Linked DNA regions of Arabidopsis thaliana. The protein of the gene in region 1 interacts with the protein of each later gene in a pairwise test. Each region holds a gene or a part of one and is shown in the gene's direction. Other genes may lie near its edges.

Region 1 (7,867 bases):
TCTATAGATGATTATAACTAGGTATACAAAATAAGTAAACCATAGCATCTTAAAAACAATTCTACTATAAACGATATTTTTGTTTGTTTGTGTAGACCTTTGATATTCATTGATATCATCACTTACTGAAAAAATAAAAAATTGAATAAGCAAAAAGCTGAATACCGACGACTGTCGATCCTTAAACTCACGAATCACGATTGTCAAACGCACGCTCACGGCTCACGGGAAGCTTTAGCCGCTATGATAAACGGTATCTTTTATCTAGGCGGCCAAAACTTTGTTCACCATAACACTTCAAACACAAATGTAGACCATTACACATATATAATCAAATGGTTTCCACTTAATATATGTTAGTATTCAAAATAACAAGATATTTTAAAAGCATAACAAGAGTTAGTGTCTCTATTTTCTCCCCACCTTCTTTCTAAATATAAATATTGCGTATGATTCATCATTTTCGCCTTTTTTTAATGGCTAACGTTCGGTGGTTGAGTGTCTGAGTGTCTGAGTGTCTGAGTCATATGCTATATATTATGCTTTGTCATTTTCCATATCATATTTGTGTATCCCCTTGTCCATGACCGATTAATTAATTTCGCTCTCACAACAAACACTTCACTAGAGAAAATATAATTACCATCTGTTCCCCTGAAACAATACATAATCAATGATGATATCAACATCAAGTGTTATAGTGAGAAATGCACAGCGAAATTTCTCAATTCGGTTTAGTATTCCAACAAATAAATCAATTATTGTTCACAAAGACGATCTGGCCAAAACTCATATAAATGTTATGTGTTATGGATCCTTTAATCTCCGTAATAACACCAAATTACTAAACTTCGAACGTATTTTACCTTTTGTAACCATTTAATATGATTTTAATAAACTTTTCATAGTTTTTTTTTTTACCTACAATTATTTATGGAAAATATTTTTTTCAGTTGTATTATTATTATTATTTTCTTAAAACAACTATATTTTTTTCATGAAGGGAAAACACTTTATATTATTTTGTGAAAGAAAGAAATTACAAATATTGAACTAATTAACTTATTTCTTTAACAAAAAAAAATCTTTTAATTGTTTTTGCCAATAGGGTCCCCACATTTTACAGGTGTCCCTCGTCCCAGCCCATCACTTGCGTGTCACTTGGACCCAAATTTCTCCTGTTTTTTAAAAGAAATTTAATTTCTTTCTAGTATATAAGAAAAAACAAAACAAATTAAAAATGAACCTATGATAACGTCAGCCGGAGAAGATCCCAGATCTGCGCGCGCTGGCATCTTTCATAGAGCGCCACGTGGCAAAAAGATTTTTCACTTTCGTAAGTGATCTTATCAAATCTCGGTCTTTTGTGTAAATTCATCATCATCATATAACTTACTCTATTTCGATTTTTCAATAAATTACTTAATATCAAAAACCACAATTCTGGCAAAAAAGAAAAATCCCCAAAATCTAGGGTTTTCTTCTCGCCCAATTTCACTTTTCTTCTACGAAATTCTCCATTCCTGCCGGCTGTCGGGTTTTCTGAATCGATTCTCCTTCACCAACTTCTTCTCTGGTTCTGTTCGATTCTGATTTTTTTTCAAGGTCAATTTTTTCTTCTCTTTAAACTCTGCAAAATCGTGATCGATTAAATTCACCTCAGGGTTTTTTGATTTCTGAAAGAAGTTAATCTTCTTCGAAGGCGATTGCAAAAGAGTGCTCTGCTGTGAATTTCCACTGGTATGTTCAATTTTTTCTGTTTTTGAAATTTTGTTTGCTAGAATTCGTGAAGGGATTGAAAAAATTGATGCAGGTGGCTAAAGAATCTCTTGAATATTACGAGCTTATGTAGGTTTAGAGTGTAAATTCGAGACATGTGAGATTTTGGTGCTTTCTCATATTTTTGCATGCTTCTGCATTGCTTCATAGCCCTAAAATTGCTCTCTTTTTTTTGTAGTTGGAGTCTGTATCTTTTTCACGGTTTTAGTGATGAATTTTTTTTTTTGATTGGATTTTGAATTGGTTACTGAACATGTGTTGACTTGATTATGTAGAGATGCAATCAAAACCGGGAAGAGAAAACGAAGAGGAAGTCAATAATCACCATGCTGTTCAGCAGCCGATGATGTATGCAGAGCCCTGGTGGAAAAACAACTCCTTTGGTGTTGTACCTCAAGCGAGACCTTCTGGAATTCCATCAAATTCCTCTTCTTTGGATTGCCCCAATGGTTCCGAGTCAAACGATGTTCATTCAGCATCTGAAGACGGTGCGTTGAATGGTGAAAACGATGGCACTTGGAAGGATTCACAAGCTGCAACTTCCTCTCGTTCAGGTTTGAGTTCTTGGTCTTTAGGCCTACTTGGTGTATTGTTCATATTCATCATTTCTGCAGTACTGTTTTACTGGATGACCTAGTGATCACTGTCGAAAGTGATGTTGTTCCACGTTCGGAATGTTGCAACTTGGTGAAGAGTTGTTCCTCAAGCAGGCAGGGAAATTAAATGGGCATTTGTGTGATTCGGCACTATAGGGCGTGTCAAGTTCATGAATCTGGTCCTTGAAATATACTTGCATTGTAATTGTAGGGTTTCATAGTTCTATCCATGCCAAGGAGATTCTGTCTCGTTGATATGTGCATTGTGATTTCTTTATTTTGTTTGTAATGGTGTCTTTCTTCAACTTCAGTAGATAATCACGGAATGGAAGGAAATGACCCAGCGCTCTCTATCCGTAACATGCATGATCAGCCACTTGTACAACCACCAGAGCTTGTTGGACACTATATCGTATGTGGTTTCCTCTCATTCCTTAATATATATATATATATGCTTTATGAGTTCTTGAGCTGTTAAATTGACTTCTTATTGGTCCCTCAAAAGGATTTATCTTGTATAACGCCCTTTTCATATGTATGATAAACTCAAAACTTCCTTACAGGCTTGTGTCCCAAACCCATATCAGGATCCATATTATGGGGGATTGATGGGAGCATATGGTCATCAGCAATTGGTATCTTGTCGAAACCTCTTTCAATCTCTACAATAGTTCCATATGGTGCAGTGTTTATTTGATGTATGTGCGCTTTTGCCACTAAGTACCCGTTTGTGGTGATTTTATTTACTGTTGGAATGTGTCTGGGTTCAGCAATAGTCAGTGAGATGCTTTTAAAGTTCATTTCTGAAATAACTGAGAATCCAAAGTTATATCTGAAATTATCGAGAACAACTAATGGGGATTCTTGGGGTCTTATAAGTTATATGTAAAGTTTTCGATGATCTGAGTCTATTTGTTGCATTTATTTTGTTCATTGGTTTAAACAGGGTTTTCGTCCATATCTTGGAATGCCTCGTGAAAGAACAGCTCTGCCACTTGACATGGCACAAGAGCCCGTTTATGTGAATGCAAAGCAGTACGAGGGAATTCTAAGGCGAAGAAAAGCACGTGCCAAGGCAGAGCTAGAGAGGAAAGTCATCCGGGACAGAAAGGTATTTTTTTCTCATTTATGAAAATTGTACTTGATTGGTGTCCTGGTAATCTAAGGATGGTGTAGAGTCCATAATAGAAGTGGACCCATGCTATATGAAGGATTGATAATGAGCATTAAGAATTTGCAAGTTTGGTTTGTCGCTCGGTAAACTTGTATTGACTATGTTTGAAATGCGACAGCCATATCTTCACGAGTCAAGACACAAGCATGCAATGAGAAGGGCACGAGCGAGTGGAGGCCGGTTTGCGAAGAAAAGTGAGGTAGAAGCGGGAGAGGATGCAGGAGGGAGAGACAGAGAAAGGGGTTCAGCAACCAACTCATCAGGCTCTGAACAAGTTGAGACAGACTCTAATGAGACCCTGAATTCTTCTGGTGCACCATAATAAAAAAAGCCAAAGCTCTGAGAGGAGAGAGAGACACACACTTTGGCTAATATAATCATTGCCTCAAACCGGCAAATCATTCTTGGCTTTTTCGTTTTTGTGTTTGCTAGTTGTTCTTGTCAGAGTCTCATATTGTGTGGGTTTAACAGTTATGATGAATGTACAAAGAGCGAGTTATGTTAGGTGTTAGATTTTGGAGACAAGAGACTAAGGAATAGCAAGTAGGTCTTGTTTTTATTCTTTGACCTTTTTTTTCTCTTTTGCAAAATTGAAAAATACGTTTGCTTAATCGTTTGCCTTTCTGACCACAAAGTGTTAACAAGGCTATAACAATGCTTCAGATTTGTAGTCAAATTCTCTGTTTTCGCCAACTTAAACATTATTTGACCGGAGGAGAGTGATTAGAAAGTAGAAGAAACCTATTAAACATTATGTTTTGCAAAGAAAAAAAAAACAGCTTGCAATAAGTTGCATAGTTTGCTCATGGAAGTTTCAAGTTTGCATATAAACCAGATTTGAAAAGGACAGTGAAAAAAAAGAAGTTGTTAAATCTACAACGGGCAGATCGATTATTTATATCAACAAAAAACACGAAGAGCATATGAAAGAGAATATGGAAACACATAAAAAATTAAGAGTTGTCATTCTTTGAATCCCCGCAAGCAAGAAGAAGAAGAAGAAGAAGAGAGTCAATTTGTGTGTTTTGTCATTTGAAGAAGAGAGAGAAAGAGGAAGACTTTGACTCGTCTTCTTCCTCTCTTCTTCTCTCTCTATCACTGCATTTGTTTTTCCTCACAGCGTATGATGACTTTTCTCTTTAATTTATCCTTTTTAGCTACATATCTTCTTTTGCTTCAACTGATTTATACCCATTTAAATGTTTCTACCCATTATAAGTTCTGAGGTCTGTGTTTTCCCTCTTTCCCTTGTCTTTGATCTTAGCTAGGGTTTACTAATCTGGTTTGAGTATATTAGATTAGGGTTCTGTTTGATTTAGGATATGTTGTTAATTAGAAATAGTTATTGGCTTAAGTTACTAATGGAACCTTGAAGAACAGTGCTCAAAGTTTTAATCTTTCTGGGTTTTTCAGGAACCTTGAGATTTGATTAGATGGGGAATTGTTGTGGCAATCCGAGTTCGGCTACGAACCAGAGTAAACAAGGGAAACCCAAGAACAAAAACAATCCTTTTTACAGCAATGAATACGCTACAACAGATAGATCTGGAGCTGGTTTTAAGCTCTCTGTGCTGAAAGATCCTACAGGACATGATATATCCTTGCAGTATGATCTTGGACGTGAGGTTGGTCGAGGCGAGTTTGGTATAACTTACTTGTGTACTGATAAGGAAACTGGTGAGAAGTATGCCTGCAAGTCCATATCTAAGAAGAAGCTGAGAACAGCAGTTGATATAGAGGATGTTAGGAGGGAGGTTGAGATTATGAAGCATATGCCTAAACACCCAAATGTCGTCTCTTTGAAGGATTCCTTTGAGGATGATGATGCGGTGCATATAGTTATGGAGTTGTGTGAAGGAGGGGAACTGTTTGATCGGATTGTTGCAAGAGGTCATTACACTGAGCGGGCTGCTGCTGCGGTTATGAAGACTATTGTTGAAGTTGTTCAGGTTCCATATATAGCTGTGTTTACAATGTCTGAAGTCCCCAATTCCTTTTGTCTGTGTTTTATGTTCACACATCGCTGGTTTGTCTTTACAGATATGCCATAAGCAAGGAGTGATGCATCGGGATCTCAAACCAGAGAACTTTCTTTTTGCAAATAAGAAAGAGACATCAGCCCTTAAGGCCATTGATTTTGGATTATCTGTATTCTTCAAACCTGGTACATTTACAACATCAGCTTTTGATGAGTATCAATGGAGCACATTTATTAGTGTATCTTTACTTGAGCTGAATTTTCTAAACTGTAACAGGTGAGCAGTTTAATGAGATTGTTGGAAGTCCTTATTACATGGCACCCGAGGTGCTGCGGCGAAACTATGGTCCTGAGATCGATGTGTGGAGCGCTGGAGTTATCCTCTATATCCTACTTTGTGGTGTTCCGCCATTTTGGGCAGGTTTGTTTATGCTTTACCGCATTCTCTTTGTTTCCTCTGGCTTATTCACTTTAAGACCTCTTTCAGACGTTTTTATCTTTCTTTTGGGTACAGAGACTGAGCAAGGGGTGGCTCAAGCGATCATTAGATCAGTTATTGACTTTAAGAGAGATCCATGGCCAAGAGTTTCTGACAGCGCCAAAGACCTTGTGAGAAAGATGCTTGAACCTGATCCCAAAAAACGGCTTACTGCTGCACAAGTTCTCGGTAGGCTTCTGTTTTCAGCAAGGCTGAGCTTTCTGAAATCGTAAACTCATAAATAAATATTCCATTTGCAGAACATACTTGGATACTGAATGCAAAGAAGGCTCCAAATGTCTCTCTTGGGGAGACTGTGAAAGCAAGACTAAAGCAGTTTTCTGTTATGAACAAGCTCAAGAAACGAGCTCTACGAGTATTGATTCTGTTAAACCATGTCACTGATTATCGATTTGCTTCCAGTCTGATTCAGAATCAAAAATGAAAATGTAAATTTGTTTCGTCCTTCTAGGTGATAGCTGAACATTTGTCAGTGGAGGAAGCAGCAGGGATAAAGGAAGCATTTGAAATGATGGACGTAAACAAGAGAGGCAAGATAAATCTCGAGGAGCTTAAATATGGACTTCAAAAAGCTGGACAACAGATAGCTGATACTGATCTTCAAATTCTTATGGAAGCTGTATGAATCTTTCATTTCAGAGCGATTAGCTCGAAACAAGTGCTATATCACTTCTGAAAATTAAAACTCTTTTTTTTTGTTTCCTGCAGACTGATGTTGATGGGGATGGGACACTGAACTATAGCGAGTTTGTTGCTGTTTCAGTCCACCTTAAGAAGATGGCGAATGATGAACACTTGCATAAAGCTTTTAACTTCTTTGATCAGAACCAGAGTGGTTACATAGAGATTGACGAACTTCGTGAAGCCTTGAATGATGAATTGGATAATACTAGCAGTGAGGAAGTAATCGCAGCCATCATGCAAGATGTTGATACCGACAAGGTAAAGCTGTCTGAATCTTTTCAAACGCGCGACATTCTTGACTTCTCCACTCATTTTGATATCTTGTTTCGTGTGATCAGGATGGACGAATAAGCTATGAAGAGTTTGTTGCGATGATGAAAGCTGGGACAGATTGGAGAAAAGCGTCAAGACAGTATTCTCGGGAAAGATTCAACAGTTTAAGCCTCAAGTTAATGAGAGATGGTTCATTGCAATTAGAAGGCGAGACCTAAGAAAGCAAGAGACAAAAGTTTGAATCTTTTTGAAAAAGCAGCAGCAGAAGAAGAAGAAGAAAGAAGCGTCAGCATTGTCAAAAAGAAATAACTATTATGTTCTATAAGCATTTAACACGGTAATGATAGAAAGATTGGTCGTGGTCGTAGGTTTTGTTTAGGGCTTTCAATTTGTTTGAAAAGTTCTTCAATGGACAGCGATGTGATTGATGATGATGTCGAACAAGTTTCTGAGATTCCAAAGATACGAGTTTTGTGATTGTAATTCATATATTTATAAGATGGTGTAAGATGCTTCGTGAAAGACACGCGCCAGTTGGATTCTCTCGATAGTGAGGTCCACCAGATATATAAAATAAGAAAAAACCCTTAAAACTCCGAAAGAAAGATTCTTCTTTTTCGCTGACTCTCCACTTCTCTCAATCGTCCGCCTCTACCTACAGAGAGAGAGACTGAACCAGACGACTTTCAGTTTCAGTTCCAGTTTCAAAGATCTCTTTTTCGTTTCTCGCTGTCTGTAGCATCAATGGCAATCGCTTCCTGCTTCTTCTGTGTTCCAACACCGAACACAGCTATCTCTGAATCCAATCTGACATGGCCTCACATCGCTTCGTTTCCTAGACTCTCTTCATCTTCCTCTTTTAACGGTGTAATCTCTGCAAAGTC
Region 2 (7,867 bases), about 12 Mb from region 1:
CATGGAGTTATACCCTGAAGAAATAACTGTAGTATTCTTGTATAACTTATGCGCTACGCTTATCTCGGCACCAGTATGTCTATTTGCGGAAAAAGACTTGAATTCTTTTATACTTAAACCGGGTGTCTCCCTTGCTTCAGTCATGTACTCGGTGAGAATCAATCCTAATATGTTGCTTCAAGTAATGATTATATTTTAAGCTCAGAAACTAACACTCTGTTTCAGGGAGGCTTAGTTTCATCATTTGGCTCAGTTATACACACTTGGGGTCTGCATCTTAAGGGTCCAGTCTACATATCCTTGTTCAAGCCGTTGTCTATTGTCATTGCGGTCGCTATGGGTGTTATGTTCCTCGGCGATGCACTTTACCTTGGGAGGTACTTTATCTTTCACAATCTTCATAAATATCACACACAACATATTATCTAATATCTAGGTGCCATAACATTCAGCTTTAGTGCCATGTATCTATCCATGGAATTACATTGAGAGTTATATGGTTTCTGGTTTTAATTCGTCACAAGTCACACTTAGCCGCCATATATAGTTTCTAAATATTTCTTTCGAGACAGTACTAATTATCCGGCATATATATTGTGTGTAGTGTCATTGGATCATTGATTTTGAGCTTAGGATTCTACACTGTGATTTGGGGAAAAGCAAGAGAGGATTCAATCAAAACTGTGGCTGGTACTGAGCAGTCCCCTTTGTTGCCTTCACACACCATAGAAGAAGAAGCCTCATTAAGCTGTGACTGATGCAAGTGGAATCTGTTAAGAGATGGTCCCCATTGATGTTTACGTATAGCTACACTACATTGTACATATGGTAATTTTGTATGTTTTTCTTTCTTGTACTATTTCAAGTTAAGGATTTTTAATTAATGTAAGACGACTGATATTGCCAGTTAGGAAACCTTCTCTTATATTTCCATTTTATCAACAACCCTTAACGGCTCTAAACGCAAAATCTATGCAAATATATGGAAATCGAATCTAAAAAAGCGCACACACACATATCTTTACGCGTTTTTTCACCGATCAGCGAGAGTGATAAATATTTTTTCAAACCCTAGTGATCAAAATATATCTCTAATTCACACAGTTTCCTTCTCACTTTCTTCATCTTTTTCACAAAGCCGCCAAAGTTTGTCTTCGTGTTTTCTCTTCACTCTGAAACAGAAAGTTTGTCTTCGAAATCAACAATAATGACTATGCGATCATCTTTACCTTCTTCCTCTTCCGCTTATTCACTCGCTTCAACAAGTTTGAGCAACAGACTTGAGACCATCTTCAAGAAAGCTTCAGAGCTTTGCACTCTCTGTGATATTGAAGCCTGCGTCATCTATTACGGACCAGACGGAGAACTCAAGACATGGCCTCCGGAGCGAGAGAAAGTGAGAGACATTGCTCTTAGGTATAGTCAATTAAACGAAGCATTGAGACGCAAGAAAAGCGTTAATCTTCATGGGTTCCTGAACAAGAAGAAGAAGAACAAGGGTTTGAAGAATACGGACAAGAAGAGGAAGACGAGTCTTAAGAAGGTGAATGTTTTAAAGTATCCACTCGCTGATCATTACCCTCCCGACCAAGTTTCTCCACTGATTCAGTCCTTGGAACTCCATGTCTCTAAATTCCACGAAAGGCTTGAATTTCTTGAGTCGCGGAAACAGAATGAGACACAACCGGATCACCACAGTTTAGCATCATCCTCTCTGAATCATCAGACCCAATCTTTGAACCCTAGCCAGTTCTCGCTGTTTATGTATAATCATGGAGACAATACTCTGTCTCAGATCCCAGTCTCTGCATCAAATTTCAATCAGGATTATTTCTCAGCGTTACTTGAACAATCTGAGTTGAAGAATCAGTTAATGAAGCAGGAGATTTGTGGTAATGATCAGAATCAGAACATGTGGATGGGTAACATCACCAACAACAATTTTCAACTTCCTTGCGTCTCAGTACAAGAATCTGTGAACAACTTTGGGTTGATGCACAAGGAGTTTTATGGTTGTGATCATAACATGTCTGTGGGTAACATCAATAGCAACAGCTGTGAACATCCTTGCGTCTCAAGCACACAACATTACTCGGCGGTAGAAGAATCTGTGAATAACCCCTGGTTGAATCAGTTGATGCAGAATGAACTTTATGGTTACGGTTATGCAGACTTTTGTTAATTTCTTATGATTAATTCTGTGTGTCTAATGTCTTGTTCTTAGGTGTGTTGTTGTTCTGTATTCAGCTAATATTGTAATAAATTTTGAATCATCATCCCTAGAAACATTAATTACTAAAAGCCAGTCTTATGATCTATTTCTGATTTCTCTCTTATGCATAATAAACTCAAATTTCCAATAGAGACTCTCAACAGAGCAATAACTGTGTATGTGTGTGTTAGTTGTATAAGTAGAACTAAGCATATGTGTTCCATTGGGAAACACCAGTTATATGTTATAATAATCTGAATTATCTCCAGCTTTTTTATGGTTATTAGTTGGATAGTATGAAGCAGTACATGCACTTTCACTTTCCATACAGGTAGCTGGTTGTAAAGCTATTGAATATAGTTCCCCAACTCTTACCTCTGCTATCAGCAACCTCACACCATCTTCCACCTTCATACTTGCCGTCTTCTTCAGGTTCCACCTTGTTTCTTTCCTCTCTGTTTGTAGAAAATGAACAACCGAGTGGTTCCACGTTAACCATACAAAATATATGTTTCTGAAACAGTAACAATCAAATATGAAACAATATCAGAACACAGACAGTAACTGTCAAATATGAAACAATACCAAAATGCAGAAACATTCTCATGCCACTAATTGTGGTTGTACTAGTACAACCTTGCGGTGATATCAACATGTTAGCCTATCATTCTTTCCCGAGAAACTTCTGATGGATATGAGGATTTTTTGTGACTATCAATTTTTTTATCTGGTGACTTATAAAGGATGGAACAAGTAACACTAAGAAGCTCTGCAAATCTGGCTTAGATCATTGGCAAGATAGTATCGATATCTGCTGCTCTGGTTGTTGTTCTCTATAAAGGCCGAAAAGTTCTTGATGCTGCATCTTTTACTTCATTCGAGTCAAGTTGGATAATTGGAGGCCTTTTGATCACTTCACAGTATTTGCTTGTTTCAGTCTGGTATATTCTTCAGGTACATATACTTGGAACTGATTCATGAATGAGATTTTGGGTTTTGTTGGTTACACATAAACTTAAGCTAAATTTGGCAGCTGTACATGATTTCAGAGTCAGGTCATGGAGATCTACCCTGAAGAAATAACTGTAGTCTTCTTCTACAACTTATGTGGAATGCTAATTTCACCACCAGTTTGCAGAAAAAGACTTGACCTCTTGGCAGCTTAAACCGGATATTTCCTCGCTGCAGTCATATACTCGGTTAAAGTCAAACCTTTTATAACCTGCTTCAACTACTGACTCTTATCTTTAAGCTCAGAAACTACCACTCTGTTTCAGGGAGTATTTGATTCATCATTGTGCTCGGTTATACACACATGGGGTCTCCACCTGAATGGTCCAGTGTATGTATCCTTATTCAAGCCGTTGTTTATAGCAGTTGCAGTCGTCATGGGTGCTATATTCCTTGGCGATGCACTTCACCTTTGGATGTGCCATATCTTTCAACTATAGCGTCTCTTTCTTGAGAAACATAAGTGATATAAACTTAGTTATCTTAGTTATAGGTTGTTGAAATGTTTAGTCTCATGATCTTCATGTTACTATGTTGCATCTCTGTGTTGTGGACAGTGTGATTGGATCAATGATATTGAGCTTTGGGTTTTATACTGTGATTTGGGGCAAAGCAAGAGAAGATGCAGCCAAAATAGCAAGTCTTTCACAGCAGTCACTTTTGTTGCCTAAACACAACAAAAGAAAATGAAACCTTACCATGAAGATATGTTAGATGCAAGTGAAATCCTTTAATTACTTACTTTTGGACCCATTAGAAGATGGTTGGTCCCTGTTTATACAGAGCCAGGGTAAATAAGAATTTAGTTTTAGCTTCTCTTCTAATTTCTTGGATTCATCTATTGGTTTTGTACCCATTTGAAGATGGTCCTGGTTTATCTTGTCTATCTATCTATCTATATAGATGTCACATGTTTATACGTTTTGTAATTATTTGATGATGTTTGATGAGGATATATACATCCATCTATAATTTGTTTGTCAATAACTTTTTGTATGTAAAAATGAAATATGAAACGTGTGTTTTAATCTAGCCACAACATGTGTAGGAATCCATTTAATTACAATTTTTCAGAGACCACATACATTTCATACCCAACAAATAAATGTTTTTTCAACCAATAAGAAGACAACAATTAATCATTTATTTGATGGAGACTGTTTCACATGTCTTTTCCCATCAAGATCCCATGAACTAATAATATATACAAATTTCAGAGAGACAGAGGCTTAGAAGAAAGAAGAAGCCAAGAACTAAAAAATGGTTCATGGAAGGTTATGTAACAGAGATGGCTGGATCTTGACGGCGATGGTGGTGACAGAGTTTTCTAACGTAGGAGTAAACACTCTGGTCAAAGCAGCGACGTCCAAAGGACTTAGCCCATTTGTGGTTCTTGTATACTCTTACACTTTTGGATCTCTTCTTCTTCTTCCTCTTACATTCTTCTCCTTCAGGTTCTTCATTCTCACGATTCTGTTTCAAGTTTTATGTTAAGTATTAAGTAATTTTTCTTACATAGACTTATCTCTACAGATCAAGATCTCTCCCTCCGTTGACATTTTCAATTCTATGCAACATGGGGATTCTTGGTCTAATTGCGTAAGTTACTTTTATTTTGGAAACACTATATCTAGTAGCATTTGCAATGCATATATCTTCCTAGCTAGGTTTCAAAACCAATTATTAGTTGGTTCTTGAATTGCATATAAGTGTGTATTCAAAAAAAATTGTTTTATGGAAGAAATTTCTTACTTAAATTTGTTGTATTTGTACTTCATAAAAAGAACAGAAGTGCGTTTCAAATCTTAGGCTACAATGGGATAAAATATAGCTCGCCGACTTTATCTTCGGCCATGAGCAATGTCAATCCTGCTTTTACCTTCATCCTCGCCGTTGTTTTTCGGTAAATTCTATTTCCCAAATATTTCAAATCATTAATTAGTCGTAATCATTTTTTTGTTTCTTGTAAAAAGTCGTAGCCATTTTAGCTTTTTAATTTTCTTTGCTTTACGTTATAAGATTTTTTATGCTTTAAGAAATCCAACGATGTTGTTGTTGACAAAAAGGAAAAATAAATCTCTCCATGGTTGATGGAAATTAAAAAAGAAAAAGATCTCTATCGTTTTAGTTAATGTCACATATATAATCATAATTTCTTCAATCATCGTTTCACTAGTAGCTCGTTTCTCGCCGGAAGACTCGCGCTAAGTCCACGAAATATGTTTTTTAGATTAATTTTATAATATAACAGCATGAAAATTTGTCCCATTTTAATATTATTGAAAACGTTTGTCTGAAAAGTCAACAAAAGAAAAAATAAAATTAAAACGTGTATGGAAAAGCATCACTGAAAACGTGTGCAAGGTAATGTTTTTCCGAAAATTTCTTGAAAACTATAAAATATATCAGTATAAATTATATATAACGAAAATATATCAATAGTTTATAATAAGATATGAGAGCTGACTCTCGAGTTTAGGTAGGAAAGAAGGATAAACAAATCCATAATAGTTTATAAAAAATTTTGGTGTGGTTTATAAAATTTTGTTTGGCCTTCATAAATACATTTATATTCAGTTTTAATATATTTTTATTAATCTGTGTATTTTGTTTAAAAAATCAATTAAAAAGGAACAGAAAGAATACTTTTTATATTTTACTCACTTGCACTTTTTTTTTATGAAGAATGGAAAATATATCTCTAGGGAAAAAGAGTAGTGTAGCCAAAGTGTTGGGAACAATATTGTCAATAATAGGTGCACTTGTGGTTACTCTCTACCACGGTCCAATGCTAATGTCTTCACATTCGGATTGGATCATCGGTGGTGGCCTTCTTGCTCTCCAATACATCCTTGTCTCCGTCTCTTACCTTGTTATGGTATACCTTACTAGATAATGTTATATCCAAAATGTCATTGAAATAGTATAGTTGTCTTAGTTATATTATATTAATATATGGTAACTCAAAACTCGGCTATTTATAGGCTCACACAATGGGTCGATATCCATCTGCCGTCGTTGTGACGCTTGTGCACAATGTTTGCATAGCTGTTGTGTGTGCATTTGTGAGCCTTTTGGCAGAGAAGGACAATCCGAAGGCATGGGTCATAAGATTCGACATAACCTTAATTACCGTAGTAGCAACGGTACTCATGACATTATATTTATAACTTTGGTTTCATATGTTTGTTCATTTATTCGTTTTTCTTGGTCTTTGATGATTTATGGAATATACATTTTTCATAGGGGATTTTGAATTCGGGATATTATGTTATACATACGTGGGCAGTGAGTCACAAGGGACCTGTGTATTTGTCTATGTTCAAACCGTTATCTATATTGATAGCAGCCGTATCAACTTTCATTTTCCTCGGCGAGTCGCTCTACCTTGGAAGGTATACCACAAAACTGTTGCTTCTCATGATTTTAAATTCACTATGTAAATGTCATTTCTCAATCCTCCTCTATATGTTTGAGTACAGTGTGATGGGAGGAATATTGATATCAATAGGATTTTACATGGTGTTGTGGGGTAAAGCCAAGGAAGACAAAGTTGACATAATAGGAGCAATAGAGTCCTCTCCTTCACATAATGCTCCTCTCTTGGATAATTTTAAAAGCTAATCAATATTCACTTTAGTTTTTCATGAGTGATTTCTGACAGATTAATACTATTTATGTGTGTCATCCATTTTATAATATAGTTCGACCAATAGTCCAAAACTCATTAAAAAAAGGCGTAGACAAAAACCAGAGACACACATATTAGTGTTTGTTAATAAAATTGGTGTTTTGTGATCCTTGGACCATGGTATGGTGATTTCACTGAATTGGTTCGATCTTAGTTTTCAAAATCGGTTCAGGTAGCTAAACCAGACTAGGGTTTCTTAATGTCAAAGCGCTACGAATCCCACTATTTTACTTGGGACATATAGATGAATGGAAAGTGAAGTATTTGGTAGAAGAACCTATGATTATATCTCATCCATTTCACTTTCTTTTTGCATACTTTTTTTGTGTGGATATATATGATTGTTCTACCAAGTTCAAACTTCAAAGAAAATAAATGAGAGAAAAAATAACCAATGTATTTCTTCTTGCATATTTTTCCAAATACAAAACAGAATCAAGAAAAATCAAATTATGGTTTGAGCTTCTCTTTGTCTTTCCATGACTGTATTTGCTTTTATGTCCTTCCATGGACAAAAATCTCTCTTTCTCTCCTTCTGGTTATGGTTCCTTCTGTTTCAGTTTCTTTCTTCAGTCTTGAGATCATCAGACATAGCAGAAGGTATGCAATGTGTGGTCAGAATATCTAATGTTGCTTCCTTTGCTGTCTTAGTGTCCAGAACAACAATCTGTAGAAACACCAAAGAATTTTAGCTAAAAATTGTTTATAAGTTTGTATAAAAGTTAAGGAAGATGAGAAAATAACATACCTGATCATAATCCAGATTAAACTTCATATATTCATCCTCACAATTCTCCACCATCCCAGCTAAACCTTTCAAGTTTTTCACAGGTTTGCCATTAAAGGCGACAACCTACACGGCGATTTGAACATTTAGCGTGACAGATGCTTCAATAAAGTGACAAATGATAAATGCAATTTAACAAACCTGGGTGTTGACAATCTCTTCATAA
Region 3 (7,867 bases), on another chromosome or scaffold:
TGCTTGTAGTTAGATATTAGATATCAGGTAAAGTTGCATATCTTCACCTATATCAGTGGAGGTGTGGGTTAGGAACCAGTAGACAGTGTTGTGGTCACATGGGATAAAACCGGAACGAACGCCGTCTCCATAAAACTGGAAGAACCTTTTCCCAAATCCATGGCCTTCCGGAAAATGTGTGAGCCCTCGGATTGCTAACCGGGCAGTTGTAGCGGGATTTTTGAAGCCTAGCCACTTACCAACCACTGAGTACACTCCATCGCACCCTACCAAAACCTGCATTTCGTTTAGAAACCCTACAATTCCGTAGCAAGACCAGGCCTCACATGGTTTACAGAGGACAAGTAGTTATTTACCTTGGTTTTGAGAATGGTCCCGTCGGAGAGATGAACCTTCTTGTAGCATCCAGACAATTCAATATGAACAACCTTAGACGAAAACCTGATGGTCTCTTCAGGCAACTCACCTGCTAGAGCCTCTAACAACAGCTTCCTCTGTACGCATCGAGACTCATATTCTCTGACAAAATCATTCAACAATATTATTGAAGTTATCTTATTTATTGTTTTAACATTCATATGCTCTGTGCAGAGAAGAAGAAACATACTCGGATTCTGGAAACAGCATCTCTGTGGGAGGAGTTCCTGCAGAAATTGTTCCAACCACCCATCTGCAGCAAAATCAAAGATGAGTCCCCTTTTTTACTGAGCTGATTATATATGAATAGTAATAATAGTGTTAGTTTGATACCCTTCAAGGCGATCATGGAGACTGCGAATATGCTGAGAAACGCCGAGAGCTTCCATGGCCTTCCAAGCATTGAACCAAGTGGTAAATGCAAATCCTGTCGCTCTCAGTGTCTCCGAAGATTCCAGCACCATGCTTCTGATCCCAAGCCTGTGACACACACCACTTTAGTTAACTTACTCTGCTTAATAACAACTCAAAAGGCACGCCACACACACCTGTGTAGTCCAACAGCGGTGGAAAGGCCGGAGATACCGGCGCCAACGATGATGATATCTGGGCTGCCTTCTTCTTCCATGGTGCGTTGATGATCTTAGAAAGAAAGCTCTGTTTTTCTTCCTCTCTAGTATTTATTTTTAACTTTCAAGTAAACAAAAAGAAATGTGGTTGAAGTTGGCAAGTCAAACAAGGCACCCCGTTCTAGGCAGGCGGCTACAGTCATCAAATATCGAATCTTTAATAGTATTTATATGTTGTCACACTTTATCCCGTTCTAGCTAGGGCGCAAATAATTGTACATTATAAATTTATAAACGTGCAAACAGAGATACACACTGTGTGGCTTATTTCGGAAAGAAAACGAGATTCAACGAAACGTATAAGGAGGATCCAAGGCGAAGCTGACGAGAAGCCTCGTGTTCTTGTAGGCCTTGCCTGTTCGATCGTGAAGCCGGACGGCTCTAACTCCGGACTTCAGTTCCGGCAGAGGAAGACATGTCTGTCCTGCGAAATCATTCTGGGTGTCATTGTCGTAGTCTTGGACTTTGAACCACAGAAGCGCCAGTTCTGGAACAGACAGCTGAAACAGGAACTCGTCGTTGCCCCATATAGGAAACCACTGATCGACAGCTGTTTCCGTTCTGTATGAGACCGTGTCTCTCGGTACTCCTGCTATTCCAATCTGATGCAGCAAATGCAACACACACACAGTTACGAAGAAATCTAGTTTAAAAGAAGAGTAGTAGTTGTTGTTTACCTTGACGAAGAAATCTGGAGGAGAGTATTGATCAAAGTGTGTATGATGGAAATCCAAATCCCATCCTTCGCCAGTGTAAATCTTAACCTTAAGAGTGGTCTTAATGGGAAACCTTTTGCAAGGGTCGAAGAGTGTGTGCTCGTCTAGCAAGATGCGAGGCTTTTTAACGTACCCACATCCACCATTCCCCCTGAACATTCCTTGCATTATCCATAGTTGCTTCCCATGTCCCTTTTCAACACAAATATTATTCAACCATTTTTTAACAAGTCAAACGATGATGAGCCAGTTCCACTTACTTGCATGTTAAAAGCAACCATTTGAGCACCGTGTGTCCACCCAACATGAGGATCGTAGTTTGACGAGTCCACTCTTGTGCCCTTTGGATATATCCTCACCAGATTCCTCTGTGTAAACCTGTTTTTGTTTTTTTTCAAACTCTGACTCAGGTTCATCTTATAACTCTTGAGTCGAAAAAGGTTCAACATTATGACTCCTCTCACTCTATATTTTACCTGACAAGATCCGTTCCTCTGGTCCTAACCATAGTGTCTAGCCACTGCTCGTCCATGCTGACCCGTATAGGCTTCTCTGGATCATCACTCAAGCAATCCTTTGAAGGATCTTTGCAGTTTGCAGCGTGGATTGCTATCAAGTCTCTATATCCTACAGCTTCACTCTCCATATCTTTATATTCTTCAAGAATCTTGTTCGCTACTCTGTTCCACGAAGTCTCTTTAACCGTTGGAGTTCTTGTGGTGTGTACAGTTTTGCTCTCAAGATACTCCTTTGGAGGCTTCGTAGAGATCAGGATCTTCCCCTTAAGTTCTTCTGGTGATGGAAAATGCTTAAAACTCTCTGAGACACGACGAAACAGCATCCCTCTGTATGTTTTAGTTAACATCTACAAACATAGAATCAATCAAATTTGTAAATCACTCTTTTTCAGAGAACGAAATATATACTCTGTTTCTGCAAAACCAACTTACCTTAGCAACTTGCGCTTGAAGCTTGGGTGGCAAATGATCTTCGAGAGTGATGATGACTGGATAGTCAGACACATGAAACGCGTTATCCTTAATGGCGGTTAGACATTTCTGCAAATCTTCATGCGAAGTAAGCGTCCTGATGAGAGAACCAAAACACATATAGTGTGTGACATTTTTTGGAGTCTGTTTGTTGATTATAAGACTTCGTTAGTGGGACCAACCTGCCATGACGAACTTCAGCAGCGTTCCCTGAAGGATTAGGCCATAAGTCGAGCTCGATCACTTTTACGCCTTTTCTGAGAGCCTGCACGATCGGTTCTACGCTGCTTCTGCTGTTCACTTGGTTCCCAGTCAAGTAAGAGTTATGTCCCGTGTACACAAAGTAATGCGATAACGGCGCCTTCATGTCATGATGCACCTTAACCCAACCAAGAACATATAATATACCCAATTACAAAACCATTTGTGAAATAAATCCATAAAAAGTTTCCAAACTTAGATACCTGGCCAGACATGGGAAGAGGAGAGTTGGTATCGCTGAAGAGGTAGCGATAGAAGGCGTTGAGATGAACAAGTCCATGGTGATGAAAAACGTTGTGGTGTTTAACGCTGTGGAAGATATCTTGCACGTAGTCCAACCCTGCGTGCCGTTCTCCTTGGACTTCACTCACAAATCTTAGAAGCTCATCGAAAGACATCTTGCCGTTTCTTGAGTAAGCTTCGAAGAGTCTCTTGATGCTCACTGGTGGCTGCCTCGTTTTCTCCTTAAAGCTTCTGCTGCAACAGAAGCACACTTTGAAACTCTCCGACATTCTTCTTCTTCTTACTTGTTAGTTCTGAGATCATATATTACACACACACATAAGTTAGCGTATATGATATGAAGCAAACAAAAGTGATGAAGAATATATGCTCGTGTTATCATCTCAAGGAACGTGTCTCGCTATTCCAATTACTTAATTATTCTTATTTTGAACTAAATTTGTTTATTTATGGCTATAAAAACCTTATAAAAGATTTAAATACACTTATATATGCATGGGTCCGAGGAAAACATAAAGGATCTATTAAACACTTTGTCACGTCTTTTCTAATGGGGATATATACTGGCTTTTTGCGGTGCAAATAAAAGAGACCACTTTGAGCAGCATCAAATCTATTAATAATTTTGTAAGATTAAACTTTTCAAACAAATCATCAACTAGCCGTAATATATCTAGTAAGAGACAATAATTCATTTTGAGTGATATTCAGTGGATGTTATCGTAACCATATTTGGGTAATACGATCCCTTTGTCGGTCTTTCCCATGAGTCATATGTGAAATAGGTTCAGGGCATCAGAGAAGTTACATTGGCGAAATGATGCATAATATAGTATATCATGTTACATGGGTTTTTTTTGCTTTGGTGATTTTCAGAGATCGATGCATGATATATTATGGGTTTGGGATCCATGTATCATGAATGATTGACGTATACCTAAACCTAATAACTAAATTTTACTTCAACATATATATCATCAACATGATTTTTTTTTTTTCTTTTTTAACATTCTTATCGTTATTTTTAATTAAAAGATAGTATTCGTACATAACTTTGCATTATATTTTAAGTTCTACTATTTAAGAAACCTATATAATTTGTTTATAATTACCGTAGTAGTAAATTTACTAAAAAATTCTAGCTTAGTAGTTGTGATTATGATCTTTTTTTAAAAGATATTTTTGTGAAGTAAATGTGAAGGGTTTATATATACACGTTCATATATAAGTGAAAGTATTGGCATATTGGGAGATGATTGGATAACGAAGTTGGTCCTGAAGTGAAAGGTTCAGAGTGGTTGGATTTTTGTGTGATTGATGGAAGCTATGTTCTGTAAGTAGGGACCTTCTCCACAGTCCACACCACCCTTTTCTCTATTTTTAGGTCTCCCTTATTATTGTTATCTTTATAAATCAATTTTTGGTTATGTAAGTTCACATATATTGACACTCGGCGAGATACCATGGGAGCATGCATGATGGGAAGTATATACATTTGTTGGTGAAAAAAGTATGAAAAAGTTCGCATATACATCAATTTGGTCCCGCAAAATTAGATTATCTAGAACTTAGTGATAATTATCGTGGACGTATTCATGTTTTAGAAGCAGGCTTTTGAGTTTCTCACTTAATTCATAGTTCTGTTTTTCTTTATTGAGCTGAAATTTTTATAGTTGATTCTTCTATTATTGGTACTACAAAAGTATAAATAACTACAAAGAGTCGATGGGGAGAAAAGGGCCAAATTTAGTGGTACATACATTAATATAAAATTAAATAATGTTAGGTAAAGTGACATATCTCACTTTATCCCAATCACTTTCGGGTCCCAAATTTTTTTAAATATTTGTTATTCAATTTTTCATTCTTCAAGCCCAAGCCTCTTCTCTATATATTTTTTTAAAATTTTAATCTCAGGGTCCTGGACCACCACTTTTATGGGCATTAAACGTTTGATACAAATTGTGTGGGGAAATTAAAAATGAAAGATTCATGAATCCACATATATTATTTCTAGACTGTACATGTATTTTATTTTATATGCACACTGCTTAAAATCTTGATTATAATTTACGAGGAGTAGTTTTAACGAAGAAAGAAAAAAACACATGGAGTAAGTAAAAGAAATAAATCTTGGTGACAGAAAAACAAAAGTACTCGTGTAGTTTTATCAGTCGTAGTCATGTAACACCGCCACATAACCAAATTTTATCGAAACCGTATATTTTTACTCTTCTTTGATTTGTGTTAAGAGATTTTATTAAACGTTGAAGAAAAATCTTCCGTTTGACCCCAGTTTATGATAATGTCTAAAGTAAAAGAGTTGAATATTTTTAAAATAAAGAGGAGACTTGAATGAATTATTATATCAATAATATCAACTATTTTATTTTCTTCCCTAAAAAAACTGTAATATTATTCTTTGCCACTGTTTGGTGTTGTCCATCTAATGAGGCAAAAAAGGACGAGAGGGAAGTGGAGCCCGAAAGCTGGGACCTTTGATGTGCTGGCTCCGACCTCGCCATCGTTGGTCTTTTATGGGTCTTGTCTGGTAAGAATCACTCTTAGTCTTAAGACTATAGAGAGAGATAAAGAGAGAAGATAAAAAAAACAACTCCAACTTTCTTTCTTTTTTTTACATAAAAACGTCGAAGGAGGATGTCTCGTTCGGCGACTTGACCTCTCTCTCTCTCTCTCTTTTACCTTCATTGTTCACTGTTTCCAGACATTGAAAGAAAGATCATTAGTTTCTGAGGGGATAACCATTTTTTTTTCTTCTTAAAAAGTTTTTTTTTTTGTCAATTGGTCTTCTTCTTCCTCATCCGCTCGCTTATATTTAATTTAATAATAATAAAAATCGGTGTTCATTTTTATATAAAAGTATAAATTTTGTGTTTGGTTGATCCATCCGTAGTCGTAGTAGATCTACAAGCTCTGAAATTCCACGCCCACATCTCCTCCGTCCTCTTGAGATCCTTCTCTTCATTCATTTTCTTGCTCAACTTGAGTTGCTTCCAACATCTTGCAAGGTAAAGTTTCCTTTTTTTTGGTAGCGAATACGAACCAGTTGGAATCTGCCGCATAAATCCTTTTGTTTTTTTTTCTTGCTTGCCGCATCACTAATTTTGCTTTCTTCCGATGGTTTCCTTACTTAAAGATGTTAACTTTTCAATGTTGCATCAAGTTTCTTAGATTGTTCAATCACTAGACTAATCAGTCTCACTATAATCTCCTACAGATTCATTTCTATTGCCACTCATAACAATTGAGTTTTCTCACTTTTTTGCTCTTTAGATTGTCTTTGAGTTCATTCAGGTCTTGAAGAAGAGCACTCTTTTAAGCTGTGTGAAACTTGCGCCGTTCCTGTGAAGAACTACTTTTGGCATTGCAGATTTCAGAGAGCTGTGATTTGTGCTATCTTAAAAACGGACAAGTTCTATGTTGTGGCGGATGAGATGAGGGATGCTATCTGGGTTGATGAATTTTCTGAATGCCTGTCTCTGGCCACGGTCAGATCAGCAGGCTCGTTCTGCCTCAGATTCTGGTGGCCGCCAAGAGGGTTTGCTCTGGTTCAGAGACTCCGGCCAGCACGTCTTTGGTGACTTCTCCATGGCCGTCGTTCAAGCCAACAGCTTGCTAGAGGACCAGAGCCAGCTCGAGTCTGGCTCTCTTAGCTCCCACGACTCTGGTCCCTTTGGCACCTTTGTTGGCGTCTACGACGGCCACGGTGGGCCTGAGACATCTCGCTTCATCAATGATCATATGTTCCACCACCTCAAGAGTGAGTCGCTCAACCTATGCTTTTAACTCTTGTTTGGATTAGCTAATCTAGAAAGGAAATATAGAAGCATTTCTCTAATAGCAGCACTAGTCCAGAAAATGGTTCTAGTTTTGATCTCTCATCTTTTATGTTATGCACAGGGTTTACTGCAGAGCAACAGTGTATGTCATCAGAGGTGATAAAAAAAGCGTTCCAAGCCACTGAAGAAGGCTTCTTATCCATAGTTACAAATCAATTTCAAACTAGACCTCAGATAGCCACAGTGGGATCATGCTGTCTTGTAAGTGTCATCTGCGATGGGAAGCTATACGTGGCCAACGCAGGGGACTCACGGGCCGTTCTGGGACAAGTCATGAGGGTAACAGGTGAAGCTCATGCCACTCAGCTCTCAGCAGAGCACAACGCATCTATAGAGTCAGTGAGACGGGAACTTCAGGCCCTGCATCCGGATCATCCAGATATTGTGGTTCTGAAACATAACGTCTGGCGAGTAAAAGGCATCATTCAGGTATTTAATAAACTAGAGTTGGACTAAATCTGTTTTTGTATGTCTTACAATTCCTGTTGTCTTTCTGAGTGGCTTTATGACTATACTCAGGTTTCAAGATCCATTGGTGATGTGTATTTGAAAAGGTCAGAGTTCAACAGGGAACCACTGTATGCAAAATTCCGGCTGAGGTCACCGTTCAGCAAGCCATTACTGAGTGCAGAGCCGGCGATCACGGTGCATACACTGGAGCCGCACGATCAGTTCATTATATGTGCATCAGATGGACTGTGGGAACATATGAGCAACCAAGAAGCAGTAGACATAGTCCAGAATCATCCGCG

Evidence for each region.
Region 2: the proteins of CPK7 (region 1) and UMAMIT42 interact in a protein complementation assay, tested with the Arabidopsis thaliana proteins (one large-scale study listed by BioGRID).
Region 3: the proteins of CPK7 (region 1) and AT4G38520 interact in a protein complementation assay, tested with the Arabidopsis thaliana proteins (one large-scale study listed by BioGRID).

Annotation. Positions count from the first base shown.
Region 1 is NC_003076.8:4,047,151-4,055,017, reverse strand, and holds CPK7 (calmodulin-domain protein kinase 7), read left to right. Parts: upstream 1-4,374; 5' UTR 4,375-4,670; intron 4,671-4,962; 5' UTR 4,963-4,982; coding exon 4,983-5,498; intron 5,499-5,589; coding exon 5,590-5,713; intron 5,714-5,804; coding exon 5,805-5,948; intron 5,949-6,041; coding exon 6,042-6,194; intron 6,195-6,265; coding exon 6,266-6,381; intron 6,382-6,477; coding exon 6,478-6,645; intron 6,646-6,734; coding exon 6,735-6,968; intron 6,969-7,048; coding exon 7,049-7,201; 3' UTR 7,202-7,505; downstream 7,506-7,867. Other genes in the region: NF-YA1 (nuclear factor Y, subunit A1), read left to right, coding at 2,057-2,333, 2,687-2,787, 2,939-3,010, 3,322-3,486, 3,668-3,871; AT5G12470 (UvrABC system C protein, putative (DUF3411)), read left to right, coding at 7,728-7,867. UniProt on the Arabidopsis thaliana protein: May play a role in signal transduction pathways that involve calcium as a second messenger.
Region 2 is NC_003076.8:16,072,705-16,080,571, reverse strand, and holds UMAMIT42 (nodulin MtN21 /EamA-like transporter family protein), read left to right. Parts: upstream 1-4,350; 5' UTR 4,351-4,483; coding exon 4,484-4,677; intron 4,678-4,756; coding exon 4,757-4,822; intron 4,823-5,012; coding exon 5,013-5,126; intron 5,127-5,908; coding exon 5,909-6,101; intron 6,102-6,207; coding exon 6,208-6,369; intron 6,370-6,469; coding exon 6,470-6,618; intron 6,619-6,705; coding exon 6,706-6,847; 3' UTR 6,848-7,038; downstream 7,039-7,867. Other genes in the region: UMAMIT37 (nodulin MtN21 /EamA-like transporter family protein), read left to right, coding at 1-151, 226-377, 605-758; AGL43 (AGAMOUS-like 43), read left to right, coding at 1,208-2,182; DEG9 (DegP protease 9), read right to left, coding at 7,471-7,581, 7,663-7,767, 7,843-7,867.
Region 3 is NC_003075.7:18,016,365-18,024,231, reverse strand, and holds the start of AT4G38520 (Protein phosphatase 2C family protein), read left to right. Parts: upstream 1-5,731; 5' UTR 5,732-6,284; exon of another isoform or gene 6,285-6,549; 5' UTR 6,550-6,717; coding exon 6,718-7,036; intron 7,037-7,176; coding exon 7,177-7,544; intron 7,545-7,634; coding exon 7,635-7,867. Other genes in the region: AT4G38540 (FAD/NAD(P)-binding oxidoreductase family protein), read right to left, coding at 48-276, 357-519, 608-670, 751-897, 966-1,045; PLC1 (phospholipase C1), read right to left, coding at 1,334-1,648, 1,724-1,954, 2,023-2,140, 2,239-2,627, 2,713-2,848, 2,934-3,130, 3,216-3,524. UniProt on the Arabidopsis thaliana protein: Dephosphorylates and represses plasma membrane H(+)-ATPases (PM H(+)-ATPases, e.g. AHA1 and AHA2), thus influencing negatively plant growth and fitness.